7 linked regions of the Macaca mulatta genome follow. The protein of the gene in region 3 interacts with the protein of the main gene of each other region in a biochemical or structural test. Links are inferred from orthologs where the notes say so. Each region holds a gene or a part of one and is shown on either strand. Other genes may lie near its edges.

Region 1 (4,229 bases), on a different chromosome or scaffold from region 3:
TATAATTGAAACAAAAACCTAAACTCATATGAATCAATTTTAAATTGAAACAGACAAATATGCAAGAATGGAAAGTTGAAAGATGATCAAAATGACTATAATCTAAGGAACTGTTAGATGACTCTTTGCTTTTAAGGTGAAATTAGTCTTTTTTTTAACAGTGTTATTACTAGAAAACAGTTGCTGAGCACAGTGGCTCACACTGGTAATCCCAGCATTTTGGGAGGTTGAAGCAGGCAGATCACCTGGGGTCAGGAGTTCGAGAGTGGCCCGGCCAACGTGATGAAACCCCGTCTCTACTAAAAATACAAAACTTAGGTGTAGTGGTGCGTGCCTGTAGTCTCATCTACTTGGGAGACTGAGGCAGGAGAATTGCTTAAACCCGGGAGGCAGAGGTTGCAGTCAGCCAAGATGGCACCAGTGCACTGTAGCCTGGGTGACAGAACAGGACTCTGTCTTAAGACAAACAAAAATAAAAAACTGTTATTACTAGAAAAATGCTGATCCAGGAGGTAGCAAAGTGAGATTTACAGCCTTGTTTTTGTTTTTTTTTTTTTTTTGAGACGGAGTCTCGCTCTGTCGCCCGGGCTGGAGTGCAGTGGTCGGATCTCAGCTCACTGCAAGCTCCGCCTCCCGGGTTTACGCCATTCTCCTGCCTCAGCCTCCCGAATAGCTGGGACTACAGGTGCCCGCCACCTCGCCCGGCTAGTTTTTTGTATTTTTTTTAGTAGAGACGGGGTTTCACCGTGTTAGCCAGGATGGTCTCGATCTCCTGACCTCGTGATCCGCCTGCCTCGGCCTCCCAGAGTGCTGGGATTACAGGCTTGAGCCACCGCGCCCGGCCCACAGCCTTGTTTTTTAAGAGATAATTAGAAGCTATAACTTGTGTCTTGTGTCAGTCTGATTAGAATTTTCAGACTCTTCAGACTACTTCGTGCTTAGTGGCACCCTTATTCGTTGAACCTGTGCTTTTTGTGGATGAAGTACTGTGACAGAATATTTGGGAGTATGATTAGTGTCTCTTCATTTTTTATTACAGGTGGCTTTCCTGGGGGAATGCCTGGTAGTTTTCCCGGAGGAATGCCTGGAATGGGAGGGGCCATGCCTGGAATGGCTGGAATGCCTGGACTCAATGAAATTCTTAGTGATCCAGAGGTTCTTGCAGCCATGCAGGTAAGACTTGGAAGAACTTTGGACTTTGTATCATTAAGGCAATTATTTCATAATTCTGTGTGGAGACAAAGGTTACTCTTGTAGCTATTTTTTATTTATCACAGTTATCAAATAGCTAATTATGCAGGAGTGACATTTATGTTCTTTATGCAGAGTGAGTAAATTAAATTTTTAAAACTAGGAAATACTTAGTAATGATTGGCAATTATATCCAGTTGTCCTTTTCTTTGTATCACAATTGTGCTTTTTTCATCATATAGTTCAAATGACATAATTCAGCTTGATTTTGATACTTCAAGCACTTGTCTAAACGCCATTTAACTATGACCAAATTATAGGTCTAAATAAGAGATGGAATTTAGGATAATAAACTTATTGACCCAGTAGGATACTTTTTAAATACTAACAAACCCTTTGTTTTCAGGATCCAGAAGTTATGGTGGCCTTCCAGGATGTGGCTCAGAACCCAGCAAATATGTCAAAATACCAGAGCAACCCAAAGGTTATGAATCTCATCAGTAAATTGTCAGCCAAATTTGGAGGTCAAGCGTAATGCCCTTCTGATAAATAAAGCCCTTGCTGAAGGAAAAGCAACCTAGATCACCTTATGGATGTCGCAATAATACAAACCAGTGTACCTCTGACCTTCTCATCAAGAGAGCTGGGGTGCTTTGAAGATAATCCCTACCCCTCTCCCCCAAATTCAGCTGAAGCATTTTACAGTGGTTTGCCATTAGGGTATTCATTCAGATAATGTTTTCCTACTAGGAATTACAAACTTTAAACACTTTTTAAATATTCAAAATATTTAAAACAAATTTAAAGGGTCTGTTAATTCTTATATTTTTCTTTACTGATCATTTTGGATTTTTTTTCTTTGAATTGGGCAGGGAAGATATGTATGGAAGATTATTGCTCTAATTTGAGTGAAATAAAAGTTACTAGTGCGAGGCAAACATAACTCATTTGAGGATAAAATTTGTGTTAGATATGTGGTTCCTGATGCATTTTGACTTGTCTTTTTAAATGCTTTATCTTTTTCTTTAAAGATTTATTTCAATAAAACTAATTGGGACCACCCGTATTTCAGTAGGACCTGGGTAGGGATTGGAAGTACTTAGCAGGGCAGCAGCAGTCTTGCTGTGTTTTATATAACATGCATCCTTGGGCAGGTTGCCCTTAAATCTTACACTGTGGTGAAGGGATGATTTTTTTTGTAATGCTGCAGTAGAGTTGGAGTTCTCTTCTTGTCCAGTATATCTAATAAGTGTTTCATATTATTTCCACATAAGGGAAATAAGGGAGTACTTTTCTTTTTATATTTTTACGCTTAAAATTCTCTTTCCTAGTCAAAAATTGCCCAACTCTGTGTTTGTTTTCTGCTTGTTAGGTTTTTCTCCCTTACTTTTCTTGGGCTAAAGACAGGCTTTTTCCACCAGCATCATCACTGCTATCATCATTAACAGCATAACTATACAAGCATATTTAATGCTGAGTTTAATTTAATATGTAATACATATGGTAATTGTAGGGTAATACCCACAACAACTGTAGTTTCTTACTTGGCCAAGAGAATGCTTATTTAAGTGTTAGACTTCCGTTCTGGCAAAATCTTGCCATATCAGAAGACATTGGAAAGAGGGATTCCCTTTGGTGTTTGGTCTTCTACTTAGAAAATACTTATTGCAGTTAGAGTTTATCTTGTAGTATTCATCTTTATATTCTGAAGATAATATGGTTTGAATTAAGTTGATATACACAGAGGGGAACCAATTTTTTTGATCCAATGTGAATTATAAATGAGATAATCCACAGTTATTCATTGTGGAGTTGTTGAGACTATGAAAGACTCATTGTCTTTGTATTCAGCTCTTAAATAGTGTAACCATACCCCCACCTCTGCTTGCTTTCTTTCCCTCCCCTCCGATGATAAAGAAAATGATAAATTTTCTGTTGTGCATTCAATTCTTATTTTAAATAAGACTAAGTATAGGCATTGTACCTGACATTGCTACGTTTCTACCAGTGTTTCAATTTAAAGTGCTAGTGTTTAAAAACATTTTCAAGGGATAAGACCTTCTGTATTTTGCTTATTTGAAGAATCAGTGGTAGGAGCAGTGAAGTAAATTCTATGGAGTACATTTCTAAAATCATAAATAAGTTTATTCAGGTTCTAACCCTTTGCTGTACACAAGCAGACAGAAATGCATCTGTTACATAAATGAGAAAAAGCTATTATGCTGATGGAGCATGCTGCTTAAATCCTTTAAAAACACTCACCATATAAACTTGGATTTGAGGTTGTGTGTTCTTTTTCTTAACGTGTAGAGTTCTCCTTTCTCAAAATTGCCAGTGCGTACTTGGCTTCACTGAAGAACAGTTTCTTCTGGATTCCTTATTTGATTTATTTAACCTAATTATATTCTAATATTGCAAATATTACCATAAGTGGGTAAAAGTAAAATTACTCTTCTGAAAATGTGTCCTGTGCTTTTAGATTTTTAAATTCCATAATATACATTCTTAATTTTCAACTCAATATTCTAAACTAGAAATGTTTTCTTGTACTAATGATGCTATCAGAAGGAAGTTTTTTTCTGCTTAAAAATATAGTTATGTTTCTAGCTATGTTAAAAAATACGGTTTCAAACTGGATTTTGGGCAGGTGCGGTGGCTCACGCCTGTAATACCAACACTTTGGGAGGCCGAGGCAGGCAGATCAGGAGTTTGAGACCAGCCTGGCCAACATGGCGAAATCCTGTCTCTACTAAAAAATACAAAAATTGCTGGGTGTGGTGGCTCACTCCTGTAATCCCAGCACTTTGGGAGGCCAAGGTGGGCAGATCACGAGGTCAAGAGATCAAGACCATCCTGGCCAATATGGTGAAACCCTGTCTCTACTAAAAAATACAAAAAAAACTAGCCAGGCGTGGTGGTGGGCGCCTGTAGTCCCAGCTTCTTGGGAGGCTGAGGCAGGAGAAGGGCATGAACCCAGGAAGCAGAGCTTGCAGTGAGCCGAGATTGTGCCACTGCACTCCAGCCTGGGTGACATAGCA
Region 2 (3,962 bases), on a different chromosome or scaffold from region 3:
ATCACTGTTGGGAAAGGACTGGAGAGCCCACAGTAGGAGAGGGATGAGGGCAGACACGGGCTCTAACCTGGAGCCAGGATCATCTGGAGGCAGCTCAGCATGACTGGCTTGTGCTGCCTGGCTTCTCCCAGGGCCCCATCATGCCATAGGACTTAAGGGTCAAAGCATAGTTAGAAAAAAAGCACAAGCTGTTTCCTGTTAAGGCTGGGAAGGAAGCTGGGCATGACCCCTCTTTACTCTCGACCTTAATCATGTAAAAGTTATCTGACAGAGGTTAGTGACACCAGGAGTTTTACCTTGTTAAGAAACCAAAATGCACAGATACCTCTGCCAGATCAGAGGTAGGCAGAAGACCAATTCCAACTTCAAAATGCATATGCATGGTGTCCCAGTCTTCTAGATCTTGATACTTTCCTCTTCCTAAGCGTCAGGGAAGAAAACCAGAGGCACTAAAAACTGCCAGGTTGCTGGAGGGAGGGAGTGCATAGACTCAAGTCCCAGCTGCAGCCTGTGCAGTGCTCAGGAAGCCCTGCATCGTGGGGCTGCTTCCTGCCCAACTACGGTGTCTACTTGAGATGCTGCACTTATTTAAGCTCCACTGGGACTAAGTGGGTGACCCCTTAATTTTGCCACTACCCATTATGTACCCACCCATACCCACCCCTCCAAGGCTGAACAAAAAGGGTTGTCTGACACCCAGGTTTTATTGTTTCCACTTTATTGCTCAAGCACGGAACTTGAGGCAAGCCTGGACCTTCAGCAACGTGCGGAAAAGAGGCTGAGGGGATTTCGGGACACAACCTGGCTGAGAGGGGAAACTGACAGGGGAAATACCAGAACAGGGAGCAAGGGGTGGTCACCATCACACCAGAAGACATCAGCCACACCGTTGGGGGTGAGGAAGGGAACAGAGAAGAAATGGCATAGCAGTGGTTTTTCCCATGTCCCTAGCACCCACATGGAGGCCACGTTTGGAAATGGACTGGGAGAGGGAAAGGATGAGGAAAACGGCTGCCCAGGAGTCTCCCTCTCCACCCTGGGTTCATATCAGACCCCATCCCTACCACTTGCCTCTTCTACCCTTGGAAAATGGACCTAACAGAGGGAGCAAAATAAATTAACATTCTGATGAATATGTATGGATGGACATATGTTCATGTGCAAAGGGGGAAGGGAAGAGGGGGTGACACCAGCTAAAATGATTCCCCACCTCAATCCCCCAGCCTACTCCTTTCCCCCTTCCCCCTAAAGCCACCATCCAACCAGATAGAAAAATAAAGGTCTAATTCACTCAAAATTCTTCAGTTTTTACAAAACTAACAGGGTGGAGGGGGGAGACTGGGGGCAGGCAGCCGCAGGAGTAGGGCTGGTGGAGAGGGGCTATGCTTCTGTCTCCACCTGAGACTGGCTCCCTGCCGTGTTGCTCTTCTGCTCCTCCTTCATCTCTGTGTCAGTGGGGTGGTCTCCTGAGGAGGCCTCTGCCTTGGCCTGCAAGGAAGAGGAACAGCAAAGAGGCTGACATCGCAAGTGAAAAAACACACACTTAATTTCTAGCAGAATTACACAGATACACCCATTCTCCTACATCTGTCCTAAAAATATATCTGTATAGGCCAGGCCTGGTGGCTCACACCTGTAATCCCAGAACTTTGGGAGGCTGAGGTGGGCAGATTGCTTGAGCCCAGGAGTTTGAGACCAGCCTGGGCAACACAGTGAAACCTCAGCTCAACAAAAATTACAAAAATTAGTTGGGCGTGGTGGCATGCACCTGTAGTCCCAGCTACTCGAGAGGTTGAGACGAGGATTGCTTGAGCCCTGGAGGTGGTGGTTGCAGTGAGCTGAGACTGTGCCACTGCACTCCAGCCTGGCCGACAGGGCAAGAGACACTGTTTCAAACAAAACTAAACACTTATATATGTACAAATTATGAACTCACAAGGTTACTCACTGCAATGCTGTTCTAAGCAGTACTGTCCCGTATGGTAGCCACTACTGTAAGTGGCTAGTTCAAACTCATGTGTTTTTAGTGCAAAATATATATTGGATTTTGAAGATGGTTTGAAAAATACACAAATGCAACTAAAATTTAATTCCATTTGTTTTTCACCTTTTTAACATGGTTACCAGAAAATTTTGAATTACATGTGGTTGATACTGTATTTCTACTGGACAGTGCTGGTTTAGAACACTGTTTAAGACTGGCCAGGCATGGTGGCTCACACCTGTCATCCCACCACTTTGGGAGGCAGGGGCAGGCAGATCACTCAAGTCAGGAGTTCGAGACAGACTGGTCAACATGGTGAGACCTCGTCTCTACTAAAAATACAAAAATTAGCCGGGTGTGGTGGCGGGAACCTGTAATCTCAGCTACTCGGGAGGCTGAGGCAGGAGAATCGCTTGAACCCAGGAGGCAGAGTTTGCAGTGAGCCAAGATCGTGCCACTGCACTCCAGCCTGGGTGACAGAGTGAAACTGTCTCAGAAAAAAAACACCAACAACACTGGAAGACTAAAAGGGGACTGACTGACTAAGATAAGCCACATCCACACAATGGAATACTATGTAAGCCTAAAGAAGAATGTAAAAGTTCTTTAAATACTGATGTAAAATAAGCCTCCAGCTACTATCATGTGAAAAAAGCACAGTATGTGCCAAATGATAGAGCACGTTGCCTCTTGTTAGGGGAAAGGGAGAAAGCAACATGAATGTCTGCCTGTGCACTGATGCAATACACTGGAACCATACAAGAACCTGAAGGGTCAGCTGCTTCTGGTGGGGGAGGCAGACTTTTGACTGTATATACTCTGGTACAGTTTGAATTTAACTACGTAAATGTATCATTTATTTAATCACACATAAAAAGCATCTAGCTTTTTTTTTTTTTTTTTAGACAGGGTCTCATTTTGTCACTCAGGATGGAGTGCAGTGGTGCCATCATAAGTCACTGAGGTCTCTACCTACTGGGTTCAAGTGATCCTCCCACTTTGGCCCTGCAAAGTGCTGGGATTGCAGGTGTGAGCCACCGTGCCTGGCCCACAAGAAAACATAAATCGGGAATTACACTCAGAGCAACCAACCCAACTTCTGGGGCTTGTGGGTAGGATCCTAGCACTGATCACAGAACACGGCCCCAATAGCAGAGAACACATGCTCCTTAATGCTCCAGGGAAAAGGGCAACTTTTGGTTTCTGGGATCGGCACAGACAACCAAAGGCACCAAGAGCCCACAGTAGCCAGGTTCCGTGGAGGGATGCTATTCCCGCTGTTCCCCACCCCAATCCTCACCTTGTTCTCCTCCTCAGCCAGCCTCTCAAACATATTGGCATAGAGCTTCTTCTCCCGGGCAAGCTGCCTTCTGATCCGCTGCTGGCACACAGCCAGCTGGGTCTTGGCGGCTTTGTTGTTGGGGTAGAGCTGCAGGACCTTCTGGAAATCAGCCCGTGCCAGTTCAAAGTCATTCACGGCCAGGTGGGCCTCTCCCCGGCGGAAGAGGCCCTTCTCATTGTTGCTGTCCAATTCTAGGGCCTAAAGGATGCAGGGAGGAAGCAACATCGTGGGAGCTCAGGGCTTGTAGCTCATCTGGCCAAGACTGGGTTCCAAAAGTACCCCTCAGCAGGACTGCAAATGGCTGGCTCCACCCCAGGAAGAACAAGGCCTGGGGCATTAAATGGAACAATCCAAGGTCTAGGAAGGAACGTCATTTAATCCAACAGGAAGAGAGGGAAGACAGCAGGTCTTTGGATGAAATAAAAAGACTTCAGACGTCAACATTCACTTTGGAATAAAGCAAGTAGGTAAGCGGAGAGGCTAAGAACCAAGGTGGGAGAAAACTCTTACGTGATTCTTCCCATTCCCTGTGTCCTCCTACTTCTGTGCCAACAGAAGCAGCTTCCCACCACTAAAGCTAAGGTGCTTGCTATGAATACTTGCATCTAGGCCTGTGGCCTGTAACCTCAGAGCTCC
Region 3 (4,810 bases):
TGCGCCCCTTCAGCGACCTGCTCACCGCCACGCCTGCTTCCGGATTCCTCCCCGCCGGTCCCGGCTGCAGTGTAGGGAAGGCCTGGGCCGGGGGCGCCCCCCAAGGCTGCGGAACAGCTATCACGGGAGCCGGCACACACCCAGTAACCACCGCTGGGGCCCGCGCCACGTGGCTGCTAGTTTCCATCCACCCCGCTTTGTAATGCTGGGCAAGACGCTTTATGTTGATTTCACACACTCTTAAAGGGTCCCAGGCCGCAGTCTGAAAACCCCTGCTCCTGAGTAAGTTGGTTTCCCTAGAGACCAGGAAGCGGAGGTAGTTCCGTCGTTTGTTTACACGGTAAGGAGCTTCCAGATTATTCCGAGGACCTGGCTATGAGTTTAGGCAGGAGGAGGCCCAATCATGGGAGGCGCCAGAGAGGAAGAGGACATGGACGAGGCATGGGAGCCAAGTCTAAGGAACCCCAACACCTCTAAGGTTCTCATAGCTGGCCTTGACCAAAATATCTGAAAATTCTCATGTAGAAACTGGTTCTTCCAGCCTGAGCAACATGGTGAAACCCCAACTATACAAATAAATACAAAAACTAGCCGGGTGTGGTGTCCGCGCTTGTGGTCCTCCGCCCGCGCTCGTCCCAGTTACTCGGAAAGCTGAAGTAGGAGGATCACCTGAGCCCGGGAGGTCGAAGCTGCGGTGAGCCAAGATTGTGCCACAGCACCCCAGCCTGGGCGACAGAGGGACAGCCTGTCCAAAAACAAAAAAACACCAAACCTGTCTTTTAGGGAAGGTTAATCACCAAAATGTCAAGTGTTAGATACTTAATTTGGAGACCTCAAATCGATCGGCAAAACGATGGGCTTTTAAAAAGCATGCCGGGTGTAGCTGGGTAAGCATGAATTTATTCACCAAGGGCCCGATTCCCAAGCTAAGGGACCCTGAAGTGTGAAGGACATGGCTTCCGGGGAACCCAAAGGTAGGGAGCGCTCCTGAGCCAGCAGTGGGTCTGGAGACTCCCCGAGCGCGCAGGCCGCGGGACGGCGTCCCCTGCGCGCAGCAGCTAGAAGCCAACAGCCCAAAGGCCCCCAGGGAGCAGAGCCCCGCGATCCCGGCGCCGCCTGCGGCTGGATTTTTTGGCAGCGGGCGCGCCGTCCGTGAGGATGACGGCTCCGGTAGTCTCCCGGGCGTGCGAGACCCGGGGCGCTCCCCGTCCACGCACGGCCCTCCCTCCAGGCGCGCCTCCCGCCCCAGCCCCGCATTCTGCGCAGCCCGGGTGACCAAACTACACCTCACTTCAAAGGCCCCCACGCCCGGGCGTGCCCTCCGCCCGCGCTCGGCAGGTGGGAGTGCAGGGAGGAGGGCGCGGGCGGCCCCAGAAGGCGCCCGGACCTTCCCGAGAATTCCAGGCCGCGCAGGCGCATTGAGGTCGGCGCGGGGGCGTGCGAGAGGCGCGGGGCGGTGATTGAGGGAAGGTTTCCCGGGCTGGGCCATGAGCAGGGCCTGCGCGCGCCAGCGGGAGGGGCGGGCCACGGCGAGGGCGCAGGCGCAGGCGCGCGGCCGCGGCGGCGGTTGGGGAGGGTTCTTCCGGAAGGTTCGGGAGGCTTCTGGAAAAAGCGCCGCGCGCTGGGCGGGCCCGTCGCTATATAAGGCAGGCGCGGGGGCGGCGCGTCAGTTGCTTCAGCGTCTTGGTGCTGCTGTGCCGTGGAACGTTTGCAGCCTTTTAGCCAAGGTGTGAGGGGCGGTTGTGGGGGCCTGTGGAGGTGGATTGGGGAGTGGGGGCGGTTGGCGCGGAGCGGAGGCTGTGGGGGCCGAACGGGAGCCCTGAACCCGCCAGGGCCGCTCTCCCGGGAGGCCGCGCTGCCTATTCCGGAGGCCGTGGGCCCGCTGCTGTCTCCGCAGCCCGCCTCAGGAATGGGCTGGGCGGCTGCTCCCCGAGTCTCCGCGGCAGCCCCGGAGCTGGCGCCGCACGCGAGCAGAGCGGCCCTTTGGCTGGGGGCCCCCCGGGCGGCCCAGCTGGGGCGCAGGCGGAGGAGGCCGCCCTGGCGGAGCCGCGGCCCGCGCGGGAGGGCACACGGGGTGTCGGTTGGGGACCGCGGCGCGGGACTGGGCCGGGCCTGCAGTGGCCTCCCGGAAGCGCGCACACGCTCGTGGTAGTTACCGCGCTCCGAAATGAGGTCATCCTTTGTCAGCCGCCCTTCTATTTTCGGTTTACTTAAACTTCGCAAATCTGCAATCCGGCTTTAAAAATATTGGGAGGACGCGATGGAATCTCGTGTTGCCCCTGTAGACGCCCTGCAGGGTTTTAAACCGGCGCGGTGTCGTTCCAGATGCCTGAGGAAACGCAGACCCAGGACCAACCGATGGAGGAGGAGGAGGTTGAGACGTTCGCCTTTCAGGCAGAAATTGCCCAGTTGATGTCATTGATTATCAATACTTTTTATTCGAACAAAGAGATCTTTCTAAGAGAGCTAATTTCAAATTCATCAGATGTAAGTCGTTTATTAACCCAGAATAGGATTTTGGTTTCAATATGAACTTCTTGGGGGCTGTATGCTTAATTAATATTTTGTGTTAATAGGCATTGGACAAAATCCGCTATGAGAGCTTGACGGATCCCAGTAAATTAGACTCTGGGAAAGAGCTGCATATTAACCTGATACCAAATAAACAAGATCGAACCCTCACTATTGTGGATACTGGAATTGGGATGACCAAGGCTGACTTGATCAATAACCTTGGTACTATCGCCAAGTCTGGGACCAAAGCGTTCATGGAAGCTTTGCAGGCTGGTGCAGATATCTCCATGATTGGCCAGTTCGGTGTTGGTTTTTATTCTGCTTATTTGGTTGCTGAGAAAGTAACTGTGATCACCAAACATAACGATGATGAGCAGTACGCCTGGGAGTCCTCAGCAGGGGGATCATTTACAGTGAGGACAGACACAGGTAGGTACCTGAACACTCACTGGTTAAGTCAGTGGCGGAATGGTGGGGTGTTGCAACCCTTGGACCCCTGGGGATGCGGCGAAGTTCACAGAAAGTGTGTTTACCCAAGGATCAGGAACAAGCTAGAGCTCTGAATTAGTGTGTAATGGCATGACTTGGTGATTACTTCTTTTGGGCAAGGCACTTAGATCTGCTGTGGGAGCCTTTGCATCTGTAGTAAGGGCAAACCTCGCTTCATAGACACGTTATAAGGGTTAAGCATGGCGTTGAGCACTAAATTGAATGTATTATTGAGTCAATTTTCCTTATTTCTCTTGCAGGTGAACCTATGGGTCGTGGAACAAAGGTTATCCTACACCTGAAAGAAGACCAAACTGAGTACTTGGAGGAACGAAGAATAAAGGAGATTGTGAAGAAACATTCTCAGTTTATTGGATATCCCATTACTCTTTTTGTAAGTTTCTACATAATTGCAGAGTGAATTACTGTCTGTAGGTGACTGGGGTGACTGTACTACATCCTTAGTTCCTAGGTCTGTTGAACTAGTTTGAAGCCTGGGGAACCTAAGCTCTACTAACTGTGAAGGTTCCTCGGGTTATTAAGTAGATATATCAAATATTGATGAGAAGCTGCCTGGCTGCTTCTCATCCTCGGTAATTTAGGCTTTGGCCTTAGGTTGAAAGTAGTGGGGCAGCGCTATGACTTAGTTCTAGAGTGCAGCAGTGATGCGATTTCATGTCTTTTGAAGGTGGAGAAGGAACGTGATAAAGAAGTCAGCGATGATGAGGCTGAAGAAAAAGAAGACAAAGAAGAAGAAAAAGAAAAAGAAGAGAAAGAGTCTGAAGACAAACCTGAAATTGAAGATGTTGGTTCTGATGAGGAAGAAGAAGAAAAGAAGGATGGTGACAAGAAGAAGAAAAAGAAGATTAAGGAGAAGTACATCGATCAAGAAGAACTCAACAAAACAAAGCCCATCTGGACCAGAAATCCCGACGATATTACTAATGAGGAGTATGGAGAATTCTACAAGAGCTTGACCAATGACTGGGAAGATCACTTGGCAGTGAAGGTGAGTGAGGGACTGATGGATGCTTCAAGCTTGTCTTTAGATTATCATCCCACCACCCCAAATATCTGCTATAATGCATTGTTCATTGATACTTAGTGTGTTTGTTCTATTACAGCATTTTTCAGTTGAAGGGCAGTTGGAATTCAGAGCCCTTCTATTTGTCCCACGACGTGCTCCTTTTGACCTGTTTGAAAACAGAAAGAAAAAGAACAACATCAAATTGTATGTACGCAGAGTTTTCATCATGGATAACTGTGAGGAGCTAATCCCTGAATATCTGAGTAAGTATAGATAGGAAAAATAATCACTGTCACTGATTAAAGAAATACTTCTGGCTGGGCATGGTGGCTCACACCTGTAATCCTAGCAGTTTGGGAACCCGGGGTGTGCGGATCACTTGAGGTCAGGAGTTCAAGACAAGCCTGGCCAACATGGTGAAACTCCATCTCTCCTGAAATTAGAAAAATTTGCCCGATGTGGTGGCAGGCTGAGGCATGAAAATAGCTTGAAAACCCCCCTGGGAGGCAGAGGTTGCTGTGAGCGGAGATTGCACCACTGCCTTCCAGCCTGGGCAACAGAGTGAGACACTGTCTCAAAAATAATCTCCTATCATCTCCAGGTTCTTGTCTTTGCTTTTGGGGGTTTACATAGTACCAGTTTTGTCCTTGGAATGACTCAGTGCATTTGATTTTTATATTTTTTTCAGACTTCATTAGAGGGGTGGTAGACTCAGAGGATCTCCCTCTAAATATATCCCGTGAGATGTTGCAGCAAAGCAAAATTTTGAAAGTTATCAGG
Region 4 (4,117 bases), about 41 Mb from region 3:
ATACGTTTGTTTGCTTCTATATTATACAACCTCAAATTTATTTTTTGTATAATATTTGAGGTTTTCTTTTTCATATCATTTATTATAATAATAGCTAACCTCCATTGAGAGAATGCTCTGTGCCAAGACGCTGTTCTTCCTATTTTATATGCTTTTAACTCCTTTATTCCTCACAACAACCCTGTGAAGTTAACTGTTAGACAATTTCTGTTTTACCAGGAAACTGAGGCACAGAGTTACTAAGTAACTTTCCCAACATTATTTGGTTAGTAAATGGCAGAGCTTGGGCTGAACTTCAGTAGACTGGCTTCAGAGTCCACGCTCGTTAGTCCTTTGGAGCGCTTTTCATATTCTTGAATTCTCACATTCTGTCTTTTTTCACGCTGTCAGCGGGACCTGACTCCTGTTTTTAAATTTCATATTGTGTTTTTACTGTTAATTTGGAAAACAAATGCGTACTTTTTAGAATTCTGTATAAAGGAGGAGTAAATATGCGATGAGCAAGGACCTAAGTGGGCTGTCAGTGAGTTTAATATATGAGTTCTAATGTGCAGAGTTGAGGTTTATATTGACTGCTCAGTGCTTCCCTGGGGCTAGACTATAAATGGATGGATATTAGGAAGTCTTGTTCTGATTTGGTAATGATGTTAATGCATTATTCTAAATCAGATAGTCTTAATATAGTTTAAATGTATGTTTCGAACCAAATGTTCTTTTTTAAAGCACACAAACATTTTGAAATCATTCCTAATGTGGTTATGAATTATTGATGTTCCATTGGGAAACTAAAATGCAGATTTTTCTCTTTTAGAAACTAGGGACTGTTGCAAAGCATCATATTTTAGTGATACACTGAGAGCCAGTGGTGTGTTTATAATAGGACAAACAGTCCTATTATTCTTCCGTATAAATTCTAGAAAAATGCTTTAGAATTTATAAATTATTACAAAATAAGACTTATTTTTAGAGAGTTTAAAATTTAGGGGTTTTTTTTAATGGTTTGTTGTGTTTTTTTTCCTCATTAGGAAAACACTAGTACTTTTCAGTTACCTTGATTTTTAAATTAATCTGCAGGTCCCCATTCAAAGGCCTTGGGTTCTTTTCAAAGGTCAGTATAATTCAAGCTTAGATTATGAAGGACTGAACATACCCAAAGGATTTTGCATGTGGATCTTTACTGCCACTACCACAACCATCACCACCTACGTACACACACGACACACTCATTCTCTCTCTCTCTCTCTCTCCCTCCCACACTCCCTCCCTTCCCCTCGCCTCCCACCCCCACCCTTTGCTCTCATGGCATCTTTTAAAAATATACTCTTGAATCCTTCCAGGGAGGGCAAATTCACTTCTTATCTAAGTAAACACAAGTGGCATGCATCAGTACCAGGACTGCCCATCTTGCCTAGTTCCATTATTAAATGAGTATAGGCTAGAATTCATCTTGTTCCTTAAGAGTCCAGTATTTCTAGCTAACCATGCCTACATTTAAACTTACTCTCATTTCTTTTCTACTTGACAGTGTTCTTCCAATATACTAGCATTACAATTTCTAGATTTGATTTTCTCTCCTGTCTTATTTCCATCCGTTTTCAAGTCTATTAAGATCTACCTCTTCATTTGTCTTTTACCACCATTCTTTTCACTCATACTACTGCTACTGGCTCAGCCCTCTCATTACAGTCACGTAATTCTAACATATATATTGCTGCTAAGTTAATTTTCCTTAAGTTACTGATTGTGCTTTTTAAAAGCCCCTTGTTGAATATTTAGGCAGGACTCCATGTGGACATCCACAGGCCTCCGTAGTACAGCCCTAACGTTCCCTTCTGACTTTGCCTTCCTACTCTTCTATGTGTACTTTACATTGTGGACAAACTACTATATGCAGTTTTTCAAACATGTCCTATTTTTCCTACCTCTGTGCTTTTCATTCTCTTCCTTCTCCCTGGAACCTTCTAACCCATCTCTACTTACTGACATTCTAATGTCTCTTTTTCTAAGCAGGACTTCTTGATTCCCCTTGACTAGAAGTTATTCCTCTAAGCTCTCCCTATCCTCCCTTAAAGCATTTTTATAAGTCTCAAGTACCAACTCTACATTGTGTTTTTGTTGACCTTACTATATCTACTACATTTTTAACTTCTTCAGGAAAGGTGGTGTGTCTTACTCATCTTTGTATTGCCTGCAATCTCTAGTCCAGGTTCTAAATAATAAATATTTTTATATGTGTTTTGAAGTACATTGACCAATGAAGATAAGAAATCAAGAGGCTATTTCCTTTTTTTTTTTTTTTTTTTTTTTTTTTTAGACAGTGTCTCACTTTGCCACCCAGGCTGGAGTGCAGTGGCACAATCTCAGTTCACTGCAACCTCTGCCTCCTGGGTTCAAGTGATTCTCACGCCTCAACCTCCCAAGTAGCTGGGATTATAAGCGTGCACCACCACACCTAGCTAATATTTATATTTTTAGTAGAGATGGGGTTTTACCATGATGGCCAGCATGGTCTCAAACTTCTGGCCTCAAGTGATCTTCCTGCCTCAGCCTCCAAAGTGCTGGGATTACAGGCATGAGGCATGAGCCACCATGCCCAGCAAGATGCTATTTCCTTAGTCACCTAAATATAATCTCATTTTTAGTTATAGAAGGTTTGAAATAGGAGTGAATAGACTTTACTTAATTCTGACTTTACTTTATTTCTGTAGTTTTTTTTTTTTTTTTTTTTTTTTGAGATGGATTCTCACTCTTTCGCCCAGGTTGGAGTGCAGTGGCACAGTCTCAGCTCATTGCAACCTCCGCCTCCCGGGTTCAAGTGATTCAACTGCCTCAGTCTCCCGAGTAGCTGGGATTACAGGCACCCACCATCACACCCAGCTAATTTTTGTATTTTTAGTAGAGACAGGGTTTCACCATGTTGGCCAGGCTGGTCTCGAACTCCTGACCTCAAGTGATCCTCCTGCCTCAGCCTCCCAAAGTGCTGGGATTACGGGCATGAGCCACCATGCCCTATTTCTGTAACTTTTGATAAGTCATTTGATCTGTTGTTGTTTTCTTATAGTAACAAAGTAGAAATAATTTTCTGCCTGCTTTACTAGATAAATTAAGGGGAAAAAATAAGATATGTAAAAATGTTATTTGTTATTAAAAAGAAAGTTGCTATTTTAAAGGTTCTGTAAATACATAGAGTGCTTATTAGAAATTGAGCTAACACATTCAGGAAAGAATAGGAAGAGTTTGCTGAAGTTCTTTCTTTAGGGATTCTTGTGTACCAATAGCACAGTTAAAGAGCAAACTCATACCATTTTTATATTTCTCTGTAGTTTGACTAAACTTACTTGCTTGAATGATTAACTGTTATCCCAAATACGGATTATCTTTCAGTCAACTCAGGGAATCAGAGCTACTGAGTAGTATGTGTCAGATCTCTTGGGTGTGCTGGAGTGAGTAAAAGGGGAATGAATTACTGTGTTCATGCTGAGACTTTTAATTGAACAGGTATTCAGTTGATCTAGGTGATGGGCACTTTGCTACTTTCATTGTAACAAATTTGTATATTTAGTTGCTTTAAAACTTTATTTCATGCTTTCATTAGGCCCTGTGAAAAAGGGTAAAGAACAAAACACACAGCGAAGCTTTTTTCTCAGAATGAAGTGTACCCTAACTAGCCGAGGAAGAACTATGAACATAAAGTCTGCAACATGGAAGGTAAGTGAAAATTATTTGTGATTGATGATACACTTTATTTATACATAGACATTGCAGTATTAAGATAACTTTAGAATTGTGAGGGAAGGTTTACAGTTCCTTGGTGTTTGGTTATGTAACATTTATACCTTCAACTGATTTGCATATGATTCCTAAAATCCAGAACCGTGTAGTAATTTGCCAATTTGAGGCACAAACTTAAATTAGGTGAATTGTGGCACTGGTATACTAGGCTTACCTAATCAGTTGGCTTTGCCAACCACACAATATTTGGATCCTGGTAGGGCTTAATTTTCTATTAATCATGGTTTTGTATCTTTGTTCAATGTTGAGACATAGTCATCAGTGCAAGAAATAACTATCAAACCAGCCCGGATGATGAGATGAATGAAAAAGCAGCCTAGACTTT
Region 5 (4,826 bases), on a different chromosome or scaffold from region 3:
CCCATCACCCAGCTGAGACTGAGCCTCATCCAGGACTCCTCCCGATCCCTCAGCTCCCAAAGCCTGGCAGTCACTTCGCTTCTTTTGCCAAGTCAGCCTCCTGAACATTTCTCAGATCCAGCCACTCCCTTCTAACCCTCCAGCCCCACCCAGCCCTGGCCTGGCCTCTCCTACCCAGGTTCCTGGCTCAGCCTCTACCTGGCCTCACAGTCTCTTCTCCTGCCCCACCAGAGGGGTGTTCCTAAAGCACAAACCTGACCGTGTCCTTTCCCTACTCAGAACCTCCCAGGGCTCCCCAGAGCCCCATCCCCCCACCACCCCACCCCAGAAAGCCCTGCCTCCTTCCCACAGCCCTGTGCAATCTGCTCCCCGCAGCTTCATCGTAACCTCCTCCAGCCTCCTACTCACGGCCTCCATGCCAGGTTCCGCTCACCTTTGGGCCTTTGCCACCTGTTTTTTTTTTTTTTTTTCTGCCTGGAGTACCGTCTACCCTCTCTCCAGGCAGCCACTCTCACTTCCTCTCTGAAACACTTCTTGAATCTATTTCTGTCCCTCCAGCCTGGTTGGCGATCACCACCCCTCACCTGTCCACTAATCTAGCCTCCTTCCTGTCTTACCCTGGAGTCCAGTCTCTGCATGGCAGCCAGGGATCTTTTCTGAATGGTAACTGAACCACGGCACCCCACTCTTGAAACATCCCATGGCATCGACCACCCTCAGGATGACACCCACATTCCCCAATCTGACTTCCAAGGTTCTACCTCTGGCCTCATCTCTCACTGGTCCTACCTCCCTCTCATGGCTCCCACCAGATCAAACTTCTCCATACTTTGCTTCTGCTCCTGCTGGAGGCCAACTCTTTTCCAGGGGTCCAGATCCTTTCCACCTCCACCTTCTCCAGGGTTTTGCTGCTGCAAGTCTCCCCTCTCACATGCAGAATCAATTCTCCATCTCTACTGGACTCTACTCTCTTCCATCCTTACAAAAAATCCATCTTCCCCTGACACTGCATGTTGTTTTTTTTTTTTTTTTCTGTCTGTTGCCCGGTCTAGAATGCAGTGACGTGATCTTGGTTCACTGCAGCCTCTGCCTCCCAGGTTCAAGCGATTCTCCTGCCTCAGCCTCCCCAGTAGCTGGGACTACAGGTGTGTGCCACCACACCCGACTAATTTTTTAGTAGAGACGACGTTCACCATGTTGGCCAGGCTGCTCTTGAACTCCTGCGCACGTTCACTTCTTACCACCCTCCCCCATTTCTCCACTCTTCTTCAGAACCAATACTCCTAACACTTAACATTTGCTCTCTCCACTCCCTCCCTTCCCATTCACTCTTCAGCGCCCTCTTGGCTGCACCAGCCCCGTCATTCCCCAACAACTGCTCCTGTCAACATCACCATCAGCATCCACGGAGCCAAAGCCAATGGCCAGTGCTCGCCTTGGCAGCATCGGACTCAGGGCACCAGCTCCTTGTTCTATAAGCGCTCTCTTCTCTCCGCCTTCCCGACACCTTTCCTGGCTTCCTTTCCACCTCACTAAGCGGTCCTCCTTAGCCTCCCCCTCTTCCACTCGGGATCTGTCCTAAGTCCCCTCTCTAGACCCTCTTACTAGATTATCTCATCCATTCCCAACCATAGTTTGATCACACCCAAATTCTTCTCCAGTCCAGACTGTCCCATTTACTTACTCAGTGTGTCCTCCTGTAGGGCCAGGAGTGGTGGCTCACGCCTGTAATCCCACCACTTTGAGAGGCTGAGGTGGGCGGATCACCTGTGGTCAGGGTTTCGAGACCAGCCTGGCCAACACAGCGAAACCCCGTCTCCACTAAAAATACAAAAATTAGGTGGGCATGGTGGTGTGCATGCGCATCTATAATCCCAGCCACTCGGGAGGCTGACGCAGGAGAATCACTTGAACCAGGGAGGCGGACGTTGCAGTGAGCTGAGATTGCGCCATTGCACTCTGGCCTGGGCAACACGAGTGAAACTCCGTCTCAAAAAAAAAAAAAATTCCAAACTGCTCTTTGCAATGACTCGGGGAGACCCTGCATGATCTGCCCTCTGTCCTAATCTCATCTTGCTATTGGTCTCCCGCTAACTAGCAAAAGCCCCAGCCATGCCAGTGTCCTTTCATTCCCCACCCCAGGGCCTTTGCACAGGCTGCCTTAACTCCCTGGAACACTCCTCTCCAGTTCTTCCTCTGTGAGTTTCAGCTTAAATGCTTCCTGCTCAGTAAGGCCTTCCCCCACTACCCTATCTAAAGTAGCCTCCAACCCTTATTCTCTACTTCATCACGCTGCTGGTTTGCTTTCAAAGCACTCATCACAATTTAAGTATTTTACTTATTTACATGTTTTTTTTTTTTTTCACGTCTGGTTCACCTGCAAAATTACAAGCTAAGGACAGGACCACATCTCTCTCCTTCACTGCTATATCCCTAGAGTTAAGCACAGTCCTTGGCACATAACAGGTACTCAATAAATATTTGTTGAATTAATGAATGAATGGGTGCCCCACACTTGACTCTTTCTCAATATTCTAAGTGATACTATTCTTGGGGATTCCCACCCCTACTCCCAAGGCCCCCACCATCACATTCCTTTTCCTCGGTCAGCCCAAATCTTCTACTTCCTTGTTCCCCCCATCTAATGATCCATTCCCCACCCCCACGATTGCCGCCTCTATTGGGACTGTCCCTCCTCTACTCCCCACTTGGCGGCACCCACCCCAGGACTCCCCATTTGGTAGCGCCATCACTCACTCCCCCACCACATGTCACTGCCTGGTAGCGCCCTCTACAGGCCTCACGTTTGGTAGCGCCCTCATTCCAGTCCCCCTCTCGCCCCACAATTGGTGACGCCCTCCTCAGTCTCTCCACTGAGTAGCACCCGCTCCGCACGCCACTCCTAGGTATCACTCTCCGAAGCCCCCTATGTCGCCCCTTGGTAGCGCCATCCTGGGCCTCCCCACGCCCAGTCACTTGGTAGTGCCTGCCCCGCGCCCAGACTGCAGCTCCGCGTTGCCATGGTTCCGCGCGGGCCCGGCACCCTCGGCCTGAGCCGCTGTCCACCCTCCCTGCTAGGCGGGCGCACCTTTGAAGTAGTCATTGGCCTGAGTCTTGAGCTCCTCTGCCCGCTTCAGAGCGCCATCAGCCGGGTGCTCGTCCCGGGGGGGCTCAGCACACTCAGTCCGCTCGCCCTCCGCCATCGCCATGCCGCAAAGCGACCCCTACCCTGGCAACGGCCGCCAGCGGCACCCGGCCGAACCGTCGCGAAGGAGCGCCGGGTGGCCGCCGCCGCTGCCGCACAAGTGTCGTAAAGCGCGGGCCCTGAAGGGGCCCTTCACGCGCCTGCGCAGGTCCCTCTCGCCATAGAGCGCGCGGAGGACAAGGTGACCAGAGGGTCCCCGGACGGTACCCCTGGTAGAGAGAGCCAATAGGGAATGAGAGAAGGGGCGCGCGGGGAAACAGAGCTGGTGTGGCCTCTGCTCCCAAAGTTACCGTGTTCCAAGGCTGTAAAAAGTTTCTCGGTTCTTAAAGTGGGATTTCCCTGCTCTCCTCTAGGGTTGGGGGGTGGGTTGTGAATGTCGCTGGCGGGTGTGGCTGCTTTGCAAGGCAGCGCCATGCCCTACGCGGAGCCGGACCCGGGCGTCAAGCCCTATTGTCAGCTACCTGTGTGACCTTGAACAAATCTTCCCTTCCTCTCTAGGGCCTCAGTTACCCATCTCTGAAAAATGGGTGGCTTCTCAAGCCAAAAAAGGTCCAACCCTGAGGGTGTTTCTGAGTTTTTAAATGAAGGCACTCTGGATTTCAAGTCCTGAGCAAGGCTCAGAAGTGTGTTGCACCATCCCCTTTCTTCCTGTGTTCAGCTTCCCAAATCCTGAATCTTCAAATAAACTCTCCTGTTTGCCTTTTTACAGATTCTCTTGTCTGAGATCACAGCGTTGATTGCATGCACTCTGCCTCCCTCATTTACCCTTCACATGGCAGCTAGAGGTTTGGTTTGGTTTTATTTTGTTTTGTTTTGAGAGGGAGTCTCCCTCTGTCGACCAGGCTGGAGTGCAGTGGCGCAATCTAGGCGCACTGCAACCTCTGCCTCCCGGGGTTCAAGCGATTCTCCTGCCTCAGCCTCCCGAGTAGCTGGGATTACAGGTGCCTGCCACCACGCCCGGTTAATTTTTGTATTTTAATAGAAACGGGGTTTCACCACGTTGGCCAGGCTGGCCTCACTGCCGACTTCAAGCTATCTGCCCACCTCGGCCTCTCAAAGTGCTGGGATTACAAGAGTGAGCCACTGCACCTGGCCGAGGGATCTTTCTAAGACATAATAAAACCATGGCACACCCTCACTCCCAGCCTTCCATGGCCCCAGCACCCTTAAGAGAAAACCCAAACTCCTGATTAGGAGACCCTGAATAGTCTAACCTCAGGCTGAATAGTCTAATCTCCAGATTCCACCCCTTCCCCAACCCCCATCTGCCGTACACCCTTCCAGTCTGTCCTTTCTAAGCCCTCAGGTAGCACTAAGTCCTGTAAGGCTCTGGTTACCCTCCTGGAAGCACACTCCCAAACCTATCTATTCCACTCCCAAACCTCTTGTTAGTCCATCCCCATCTCTCCCACTGCCCCCAGCACAACCAACAATCACCCTAAAGGGCAGATATTAGTATCATCCCCATTTTACAGATAAAGACACAGACTTGCAGAGGTGTTTGACCAAGGTCACAACAACATAAGAAGGTGACAGAGCCAGGATCAGGAATCCTATCTACTTCCTGTGTCCTTCATTGCCACTCTACTGCCTCTGTAGGTGCCAGAGCCCATCTTGGTGG
Region 6 (4,117 bases), on a different chromosome or scaffold from region 3:
AAGCTCAAGTGCACTATGATGGCACCACTGCACTCCAGCCAGCATGACAGGGCAAGACCCTGTCAATTTCCAATTTTCTTTAACTTTTGTCTTAGACTATCACAAAAAGCCCTTCAAGTGATTCAAACTGTTTAACCTAAATAAATGCAATAAGGTTTTAGCAACAAAAAGATAAATAATCATCCTGACCATACTAAAACACACGAAATCAACTTTAACCACACACTAAATTCATTAAAATAGGCCAATAATTTTCATGACTGGAAACTTCTATATTCATCAAAAAATGATTTTATTTCAGTTCCTAGAGGAACCAGCACTTAAACGAAATTACTCAATATTTAATTATCAGACAGCTCATCCTGAGTCTTGTCTCAAATATATTTGGTATTTGAAATTTAAAATAATAAAATCACGAAGAATGAAAACTGTGGACTTACCACCTCAGATTCTGAGCCTATTAAAACATAAAAAGGAAACATTTTCAGGTAACAGTGCATTTATAAGCAAAGTTATTTATATGATTCCTATAGCACAAACATACTGATTAAGCAAGCAAATTCTACATACTTTTCAACTAAAGAAAACTAACCAAAAGAAAGTGGTTTCATTTTGCATTCTGAACTCATCTTAGACTCCTTGTAATTTCTTACTGATACACCACACAAACAAATCCACCCTAATCTCCCATTCAACATAAGAAGCTATGCAAAAACCAGTGTATCTTTGGAAGTCCACATCTAAGGAAACATATACTATTTAAAAGAAATTATAAAGGTAAAAACAAATTTGTTTAAACCGAAAAAAATTCAGATGTTTATTTCTTTTTAAACTAAATACCAAGGGAGACCCACATACCATTCTGAGCTTCTTGACACCTTTTAATCCAGACACTGAAATTAGCATCTGCACCTAGAAAGAAAAAACTGACTATAACATCACTCATCTGCACAACCTATTAATCAACAAATACTTACTGAATACCTACTACATCCCAGGCACTGTTCTAGGCACTGGGGAGTCAGTAGTGAACAAAATCTGTCTTAACAGACCTTATTGCCAACCCTTCTATAGTTATGAATATACCAATAGTTTAACATTTAGTTGTTCATCATGTAACATTTTGATTTTTAAAAAATTTTAACTACAGTCAACCTTATTAATTTCACAGATAAAAATAATCTACATTTCTCCCAATCTCGCTGCTCTTAAAGAAGTTTCCTCACACACACAACAAAATCAGATGTAAATCAAACTCTCAATATGCCATCAGTTAGGGTGGGGAGGAGGCTTGGTAACTGGGAGCTGAGTTGAGGTCCAAAAGGCCTTCCCAGCCCCAGCTTGCTCTTCAATGCAGATACCTATTCAGTCCACTATTCTCTCAGTGGCTTTATCTGTTACCATGCCCTTCCTACCAACACTAAGTATCCTTAAATTCTGTGAAGTTTGTCATATCTCCAAGTTACACGGCAGTCGAGGGGCTATAGGTGATATATTATATATTTACAGATAACAGTGTAAATGAATGCATAAACAAATTATTCATTTCTGGAGACACAGAACAATGATTACATTTAAACAGTCACTGTACATAGTAAGATATGTTAAAAATATTAAAAGTACTCTAAAGAAAAGCTTATTAATTCAAGTTAACTTCAGGGAAGATTAATTTGAAAATTTTAAGTTAGAAATTTCTTAACAAAAATTTCTACTTTACTAATATATAAAAGAAATTCAACTATACCAGCCTTAATAAAAATTCTAAATACACTCTCTCACACACACTGTATTCCAGAGAACTATTATATCAAAATCTTAGATTTGAGTAACCTATTATTTTAAATAATCAGTAACTAAAACCAACCAATTTATCACACAAAGAGGGGAAAAGGTAAAAATTCTTTACCCTGTCTGATAAAAATAGAAGCCTAAAAGCTTAACTTAACTTTTTCCCAGATTTTGGCCGGGCATGGTGGCTCATAGCTGTAACCCCAGCACTTTGGGAGGTCAATGCAGGTGGATCACTTGAGGTCAGGAGTTTGAGACCAGCTTGGCCAACACGACGAAACCCCATCTCTACTAAAAATACAAAAATTAGCCAGGCATGGTGGTGCATGCCTGTAGTCCCAGCTGCTCAGGAGGCTGAGGCAGGAAAATCACCTGAACTCTGGAGGCAGAGGTTGCAGTGAGCCAAGATCACACTACTGCACTATGGCCTGGATGACAGAGTGAGACTGCGTTCCAAAAAAAGAAACAAAAAACAAACAAACAAACAAAAAAACCCCAAAAAACAACAAAAAAAGTCTTCTGGATTTAAAGACAAATTTATTTTTAAGTGAAATATCCTCAATAGCAATTTTACCAAACAGGTCCTCTTCTGAAGGCCACCTCTGAAATAACTAAAAAATAAATGTCAATGGCATGATATTAAGATCTTAAGAAAAGAATTCAGGGGCCAGACACAGTGGCTGGTGCCTGTAATCCCAGCACTTTCGGAGGCCAAGGCAGACAGAACACTTGAGTCCAGGAGTTCAAGACCAGCCTGGGCAACGTGGCGAAACCCCATCTCTGAAAAAAATAAAATGCAAAAATAAGTCAGGTGTGGTGGCATGTGCCTGTAGCCCCACTTACTCAGGAGGCTGAGGTGGGAGAATCACTTGAGCCCAGGAGGTGGAGGGTGCAATGACCCGAGATCGCATCATTGCACTCCAGCCTGGGCGACAGAACGAGACCCTCGCTCGCTAAAACAAGAAAGAAAAATGAAAATGTAGAGAATGGTATGACTCATGTTTCTTCAGGATTTTCACATATGTATCAAGGCACTACATAATTTGACTCTAGAATTTGCTAAGTATCAAAGCACTACATAACTTGACTCTAGAATTTGCTAAGAGTGCAGATGCCCTGTTTGCTGACTGAATAGCCCTAATTATTCACGTACCAAAACTGAGATAAGCAAGTTTGAGAATAAGCCTTACCACCCAGACCTCTCCTTTTTTAATCTGTAGCTTCCATTTGCATAGTCAGTGCTAAAATCCTTTTTTCTGAATAGGTACACAACAGAAAAGCAAACATTCAAAACAGTAGAGTAAGAATGTAACATAAAATACTAAGAGTGAAGTTTCTTATTTTCAGCACTACCGACATTTTGGACCAGATACTTCTTTGTTAGGTAGAACTTTCCTGGGCATTATAGGATATTTAGTAGCACCCCTGGTTTACACTCATTAGATGTCAGTAGTACATCCCCCTCCACCATTCATGATCATCAAAAATCTCTTCAGACACTGCAGAGTTTCCCGGGAAACAAAATTGTTTCCAGTTAAGAACCCCTTCTTTAAGAGAAATGTGATAAAACTCTATCATAACATAAAGATAAAATGATAGTACAAGTAGGATTATGTAGTTTCCAATTTTCTGAGATTACTCACAATCTCTTAGTATTTTTCAGATTTAAAAATTCTTGGCTCTCACAATTTCTGTATGTCCAGATATCCCTACCACTGTGATACTTTTCATACATTTCCCTCAAAAATGTAACATTAAAAGTCACAATACTCTCAAAACTGTGTTTCTTCTGTACCCTCTCATAATTTATTCAAATATACACTTCACTTCTCCATAAAAACCTTTAATGTTAAGATTTCACATCTCAGCAATCTGAATAACGTAAAATGAACAGACTTCTGACCAAGAAGGCAAATTAAACTTTCACTTCTCCATTAGAAAAAAAAAAGCCAGACTAAGTAGAGACAGCATAAGTGTTTCCATAGAGTTTTTTACTTCTAATGGTAAAGTTCATCTGTGATTTAAATGCCAAAAGGCTAATTTAATCAGTTTTAAGTGATCTCATATCTGCAATCAATATGAAATGTAATTAAGATGAGAAAAACAGGTATTGGGTTTCTACAATTAACCTGAAATTAACATTACCAAAATTCAGCTTTGGTATTTAAGACAGAAATAGATAAGTTTATTAAAGTATAATTTTTAATACTTACTATCTAACTTTTGTCCTTCTGTAAAAGTTTCTAGGGCAGCAGCATAGTTTTTTTCATGGTATTCACATATTCTGCATGAATGTATTTAAAACAAATTAAGACACACAAAAAATCTG
Region 7 (4,117 bases), on a different chromosome or scaffold from region 3:
TGTGGGGCTCTCGGGCGAAATAAAAGACAGGGAGAACCTTTTGCTTTTGTGGCAAGGGCACCGGCAGATAAAGAAACGGGTCAAAAGTGATGGAGACCTGTGGATGTAGAGGTGGCACTGGGTAGCTGCACACAGAGTGGGAGACAAAATGTTCATGCCCAAAGAGCCCATTCCAGGGCTTCTGATGGCTCTCAAGGCCTCCACAGCCAACCAGCAAACTCTCAGGCTTCAGGACACTAGATGGGGCAGGAGGACCACCAGGAGATAACAATCCTCCTTTCTGGCACTCAAAGCCCTACTCAGCTTAGCCACTTTACGAATTTGCCTCACACTTGCACCCCATGTGCCCACAACCCTGCCACAACACCTCTGAGCTCTAACATCACTTTTCCCTCAGTCAGGAAGCCTACCTAAGTGGGCTCTTCAGCCCATATAGAATCCTAAGGCCTCCCTGCCAACTTCTTCGCCCAAACCTTAAGATGCACATGCCTCTGAACCTAACATGATCAGAATAGAGGGCCTCTTTCCAGGGGAGCCCATCACACCTTGGCACACACAGGGCACACCAGCTTCGACTTGTACTGCCCCTGAAATAGGTCCACGATGAAAGAGTCATTCCTCATCTTGTGCCGCTGCCATGCTTCCTCGGCTACCACCTGAGAGGCAGAGTGGTGAGAACCAAAGAGGCCTGGGGGCTGGGATGCTCATGAGACATGCCCACCCTCTGTCCCTAACCCTGACCTCATCGGGCCGCCCATCTGAGTCCACGGTCTCTGTGTAGGGCTTGTTCTGAATGCGATTCAGGTCCTCGTGCAGCCCATCCAGCAGGAAAGCCATGAACTCCTGGGCATCATGCTGCGCATAGCCTGTGAACTGGCTGGCCTTACTCGCCACAATGGCCTGGATACAGGAGCCAAAGTGTGAACACAAAGCCCTAGCACCCACTGCACACCGGTTAGCTGGCCCTCCCCGCCCCCTGCAGCCAAGGGTGACAGTGGTCACAGATTACCTTCAACTTGGAAGGCTGGAAGGCATGGTGGGTGCCCTTCCACAGCGCCCGAAGCAGCACAGCAAAGCCAATGGCCAGACGCCCACCAGTCCCTAGTGGGTTGTTGTAGTTGATCTCAGCCTCAAAGGAGCGGTCTAGGAATAGTAGCGGAGCAAAGGTGTGAGGGACAAAGGCACCCTCTCTGCCCATTCCCCAGGCTCCAGGCCCTGCCCTCACCATGGAAGAAGTCCCGGAGTTCCCGAGTGTTGGACAGAGACTGAATGACGCTGTTCATGAAGCAGGTGTTGCCTAAATTGACAAGGCCAGTGAAGCCTGGCAGACACACTTTCTTCTCTTCCTCTTCCTCCTCCTCCACGCTATCTCCACTAACTGGGCTGTGGGGCATGGGAGGCACCATACATGTAGGCTTGGGCTGGGGGAGCAAAGAGGACATAAGAGAACAGCTCCAAGACTCTCCAACCTCCATTCTTCGTCCTTCCCATCCCAGAATTCTCACCGACGCCAGGTGTGTCTCTGGCTTTGGGGTTACATGCTCCATAGGTGTGCGGGTTGCCACACTCTCTAGCCCTGTGTCCTCAGATCGTGCCTTGGATTTATCCTTCTCCATAGCCCGGGCCTCCTCCTGGCCTGTCAGGGGGTGGGGAGCACCTCCTGGTGGGGTTGAATCCAGAGGGGTTGGACCTGTCGGCACGGCAACCTTTGCACCACCCACTGCACCTTAAAAAGGGGGAATGAGAGGGCTGGTGGTTAGCAGCACGTGACAGGGGTTTGGGTCCTGATCACGTGGAACTGGGCAATGAAGGGAGCTCGTGTGCAGACCTCGTGTAGCCGGGGCCTCCAGGCCCCCCCAGCGCTGACTCTGCCTCTTACGAAGGCAAATGTCGATGCGAGAAGCCGTGAAACAGAAGGTGCACTGCTCTGGCTCAATCAGATTCCTGTGGGAAAAGGCTGAACTCAGGGACTTAGGAGGAATGGGCATCAGGATAGATAAGCTAGGGAGATGGAGCCTGGGGGAGTAGGACAGGCACAGTGGTGGGGCCGGGCACCACCCACCTGAGCTTCACCTGCCAACGGAAGATGGTGTGGGGCCCACAGCCTGGGTGCAGCCTCAGGAAGTTTCCATCCCTGCAGAGGCACAGCAGGATAGGAGGAAGGACAAGAGGAGGAGCATGAGACATACTGTCCCACCTGAGGCATTGTTTGCCCCATCATCTGCCCACCCACCTGGTCTGGAAGATGAGTGTGAAGTCCTGCTCACGAAAAAGTACTCTCGAGGTGTCCCTGCAGATCTCCTTCACGTACACGTGCACCACCACTGAATCCGGGCCCTTCTCATACGAGTCATTCTTGACAAATGCCAGGTTCACCATCGACTCGGGCTCTATATTGAGACCATGGCTCAGCTCCAACCAGGACAGGTTCCAGCCTATTGCTACTCTACTCCCTAACCACCTACAAGCTTTGCAACCCAACCTAGGCCTGCCCACCCCCACCTTTACCATCCACCAAGGTTGCAGCATCTGCTGCCACTGCCATCTCCTCCTTGGCACGGTCATCTTTCCCAGAGTTTCTGCTCCGGACCATGGCTGGAGAGACTGGGTCATTCCCAGGAGACACTGCTTTCTCTCCTGCCAAAAGGGCTAAATTCTCCTCTGAGCCCAGGAGGCAGGTTTGGGGGTTCACCGGTGGTATGCAAAGCTGTTCATCAGCCTCAACCTATCAATGGCAAGATTGTGGGCAGAATCAGCCCGGGCTCTGCCAGGTGGCTCCCACTCCAGTGCACACTCTTTCCCCCCATTTCCTAACACCCATACAGGTGCCCAACTCTCACCTGAGTGGCCGGGTCAGCCACGAAGGGTGGGGCATCACCCCGGGGTCCAGGGTCATCCCTGGACCCCTCCCCCTCTGGCCCTCTGCAGAGATGCACAGCCCTCTTGGCGCTGGGCCCTGCCTGGGCCCCGGGGCCAGCCCCTGAGCCTACCTCACCACGGCCCTGGGCCCGCTTCTGGTTCCGGGCCTCCTGCTTAGCCCGGTGGGGCTCAGGGCCTGGCTCCAGGGCAGTGGGAGACAGTTCCTGCCCATTCTCCTGGCACTGCAGCCCCGGCACCAGCTCCTGGGTCCCTAGAGGTTTCTTCTGCCAAAGATACAGCAGTCAGGCCCTGTCGACTACACTGGCTATCCCTACCCAACCCTGTACTACTAGAACTCACCAGGAGGGAGGGCCACGTGAGCATAGGCACCTTTTTGGGCAGTGTCAGGTGCAGGAGACTGCCCTTGCGGGTTTGCACTTTAGCACAAGAGCTTTTTATCTCAGCATAGAAGACACCACCCCACTGCTGACCACCTGGAGACAGAGCAGGGTCCATGAGGTAGGATAGGAGATATCAAAAGATTCAAACATACTATTGTGCTCAGGGCAGATGGACACACCTGCAAACCGCACCACACAGTCCGTATCTGTGAAAGCAGCATCTACATCCTCCAGCTGCAAGGGACCTACTCCCACATGAAGCTTGACAATCACCTCTTCTGCACTCTGCCTCCAATCGAGCAACAACTCTGGAGGGGGAGTAGCCAAGAGATCATGAGGGTCTTCACAAGCTCCTGATGGTGATAAGCAGGTAACAGAGACCCAGCCCTAATGAAACTGCCTCAGATGGGAGCCAAATTGTAAGTGATCCCTCCCCCTCCCTAGCACCCAAAAAGCTCATTCATAACTGACCCTCTTTGGTCTGCTCCTCCCGAGGAGTGGATGCTGACCCTGACAATGAAGGAAAGAACAGCCGGGAATGGTGGCATGAGCCTGTGATCCCAGCTGCGCAGGAGGCTGAGGCAGAAGGATCACCTGAGGCCAGAAGTTCAACACCAGCCTGGGCAACATATCGAGACCCTGTCTCTAAAAAAAAAATAAGAAAAATTAGCCAAGCATGGTAGGGAGGCTGACATAGGAGGATTACTTGAGTCCAGGACTTTGAGGATGCAGTAAGCTACGATCACACCTGCACTGCACTCCAGTCTGTGCAAGAGTGAGACCCTGCCTCTTTTTAAAAAAAAAGGAGGGGGCCAGGCACAGTTGCTCATGCCTGTAATCCCAGCACTTTGAGAGGC

What was found.
Region 1: the proteins of HSP90AA1 (region 3) and ST13 form a complex in vitro, tested with the Homo sapiens proteins (2 studies listed by BioGRID). The link is inferred for Macaca mulatta from reciprocal best matches to the Homo sapiens genes HSP90AA1 and ST13.
Region 2: the proteins of HSP90AA1 (region 3) and FKBP4 form a complex in vitro, tested with the Homo sapiens proteins (4 studies listed by BioGRID and IntAct). The link is inferred for Macaca mulatta from reciprocal best matches to the Homo sapiens genes HSP90AA1 and FKBP4.
Region 4: the proteins of HSP90AA1 (region 3) and HIF1A form a complex in vitro, tested with the Homo sapiens proteins (4 studies listed by BioGRID and IntAct, with this or other methods). The link is inferred for Macaca mulatta from reciprocal best matches to the Homo sapiens genes HSP90AA1 and HIF1A.
Region 5: the proteins of HSP90AA1 (region 3) and PPP5C form a complex in vitro, tested with the Homo sapiens proteins (4 studies listed by BioGRID, with this or other methods). The link is inferred for Macaca mulatta from reciprocal best matches to the Homo sapiens genes HSP90AA1 and PPP5C.
Region 6: the proteins of HSP90AA1 (region 3) and SUGT1 form a complex in vitro, tested with the Homo sapiens proteins (4 studies listed by BioGRID, with this or other methods). The link is inferred for Macaca mulatta from reciprocal best matches to the Homo sapiens genes HSP90AA1 and SUGT1.
Region 7: the proteins of HSP90AA1 (region 3) and USP19 form a complex in vitro, tested with the Homo sapiens proteins (3 studies listed by BioGRID). The link is inferred for Macaca mulatta from reciprocal best matches to the Homo sapiens genes HSP90AA1 and USP19.

The regions. Positions count from the first base shown.
Region 1 is NC_133415.1:10,709,915-10,714,143, forward strand, and holds the end of ST13 (hsc70-interacting protein), read left to right. Parts: intron 1-1,039; coding exon 1,040-1,173; intron 1,174-1,597; coding exon 1,598-1,726; 3' UTR 1,727-3,540; downstream 3,541-4,229. UniProt on the Homo sapiens protein: One HIP oligomer binds the ATPase domains of at least two HSC70 molecules dependent on activation of the HSC70 ATPase by HSP40. Stabilizes the ADP state of HSC70 that has a high affinity for substrate protein.
Region 2 is NC_133416.1:3,698,688-3,702,649, reverse strand, and holds the end of FKBP4 (peptidyl-prolyl cis-trans isomerase FKBP4), read right to left. Parts: intron 3,525-3,962; coding exon 3,285-3,524; intron 1,489-3,284; coding exon 1,381-1,488; 3' UTR 713-1,380; downstream 1-712. UniProt on the Homo sapiens protein: Immunophilin protein with PPIase and co-chaperone activities. Component of steroid receptors heterocomplexes through interaction with heat-shock protein 90 (HSP90).
Region 3 is NC_133412.1:175,437,367-175,442,176, reverse strand, and holds the start of HSP90AA1 (heat shock protein HSP 90-alpha), read left to right. Parts: upstream 1-1,668; 5' UTR 1,669-1,727; intron 1,728-2,325; coding exon 2,326-2,487; intron 2,488-2,576; coding exon 2,577-2,943; intron 2,944-3,263; coding exon 3,264-3,397; intron 3,398-3,691; coding exon 3,692-4,012; intron 4,013-4,127; coding exon 4,128-4,293; intron 4,294-4,718; coding exon 4,719-4,810. UniProt on the Homo sapiens protein: Molecular chaperone that promotes the maturation, structural maintenance and proper regulation of specific target proteins involved for instance in cell cycle control and signal transduction.
Region 4 is NC_133412.1:134,833,038-134,837,154, forward strand, and holds part of HIF1A (hypoxia-inducible factor 1-alpha), read left to right. Parts: intron 1-3,595; coding exon 3,596-3,708; intron 3,709-4,117.
Region 5 is NC_133424.1:58,844,527-58,849,352, reverse strand, and holds the start of PPP5C (serine/threonine-protein phosphatase 5), read right to left. Parts: upstream 3,257-4,826; 5' UTR 3,210-3,256; coding exon 3,089-3,209; intron 1-3,088. UniProt on the Homo sapiens protein: Serine/threonine-protein phosphatase that dephosphorylates a myriad of proteins involved in different signaling pathways including the kinases CSNK1E, ASK1/MAP3K5, PRKDC and RAF1, the nuclear receptors NR3C1, PPARG, ESR1 and ESR2, SMAD proteins and TAU/MAPT.
Region 6 is NC_133422.1:31,923,649-31,927,765, reverse strand, and holds part of SUGT1 (protein SGT1 homolog), read right to left. Parts: intron 4,073-4,117; coding exon 4,002-4,072; intron 2,080-4,001; coding exon 1,986-2,079; intron 915-1,985; coding exon 859-914; intron 458-858; coding exon 441-457; intron 1-440. UniProt on the Homo sapiens protein: May play a role in ubiquitination and subsequent proteasomal degradation of target proteins.
Region 7 is NC_133407.1:112,551,355-112,555,471, forward strand, and holds part of USP19 (ubiquitin carboxyl-terminal hydrolase 19), read right to left. Parts: intron 3,906-4,117; coding exon 3,732-3,905; intron 3,569-3,731; coding exon 3,440-3,568; intron 3,354-3,439; coding exon 3,220-3,353; intron 3,144-3,219; coding exon 2,841-3,143; intron 2,726-2,840; coding exon 2,503-2,725; intron 2,391-2,502; coding exon 2,234-2,390; intron 2,135-2,233; coding exon 2,063-2,134; intron 1,945-2,062; coding exon 1,829-1,944; intron 1,727-1,828; coding exon 1,506-1,726; intron 1,422-1,505; coding exon 1,226-1,421; intron 1,144-1,225; coding exon 1,010-1,143; intron 901-1,009; coding exon 742-900; intron 657-741; coding exon 546-656; intron 98-545; coding exon 1-97. UniProt on the Homo sapiens protein: Deubiquitinating enzyme that regulates the degradation of various proteins by removing ubiquitin moieties, thereby preventing their proteasomal degradation. Stabilizes RNF123, which promotes CDKN1B degradation and contributes to cell proliferation.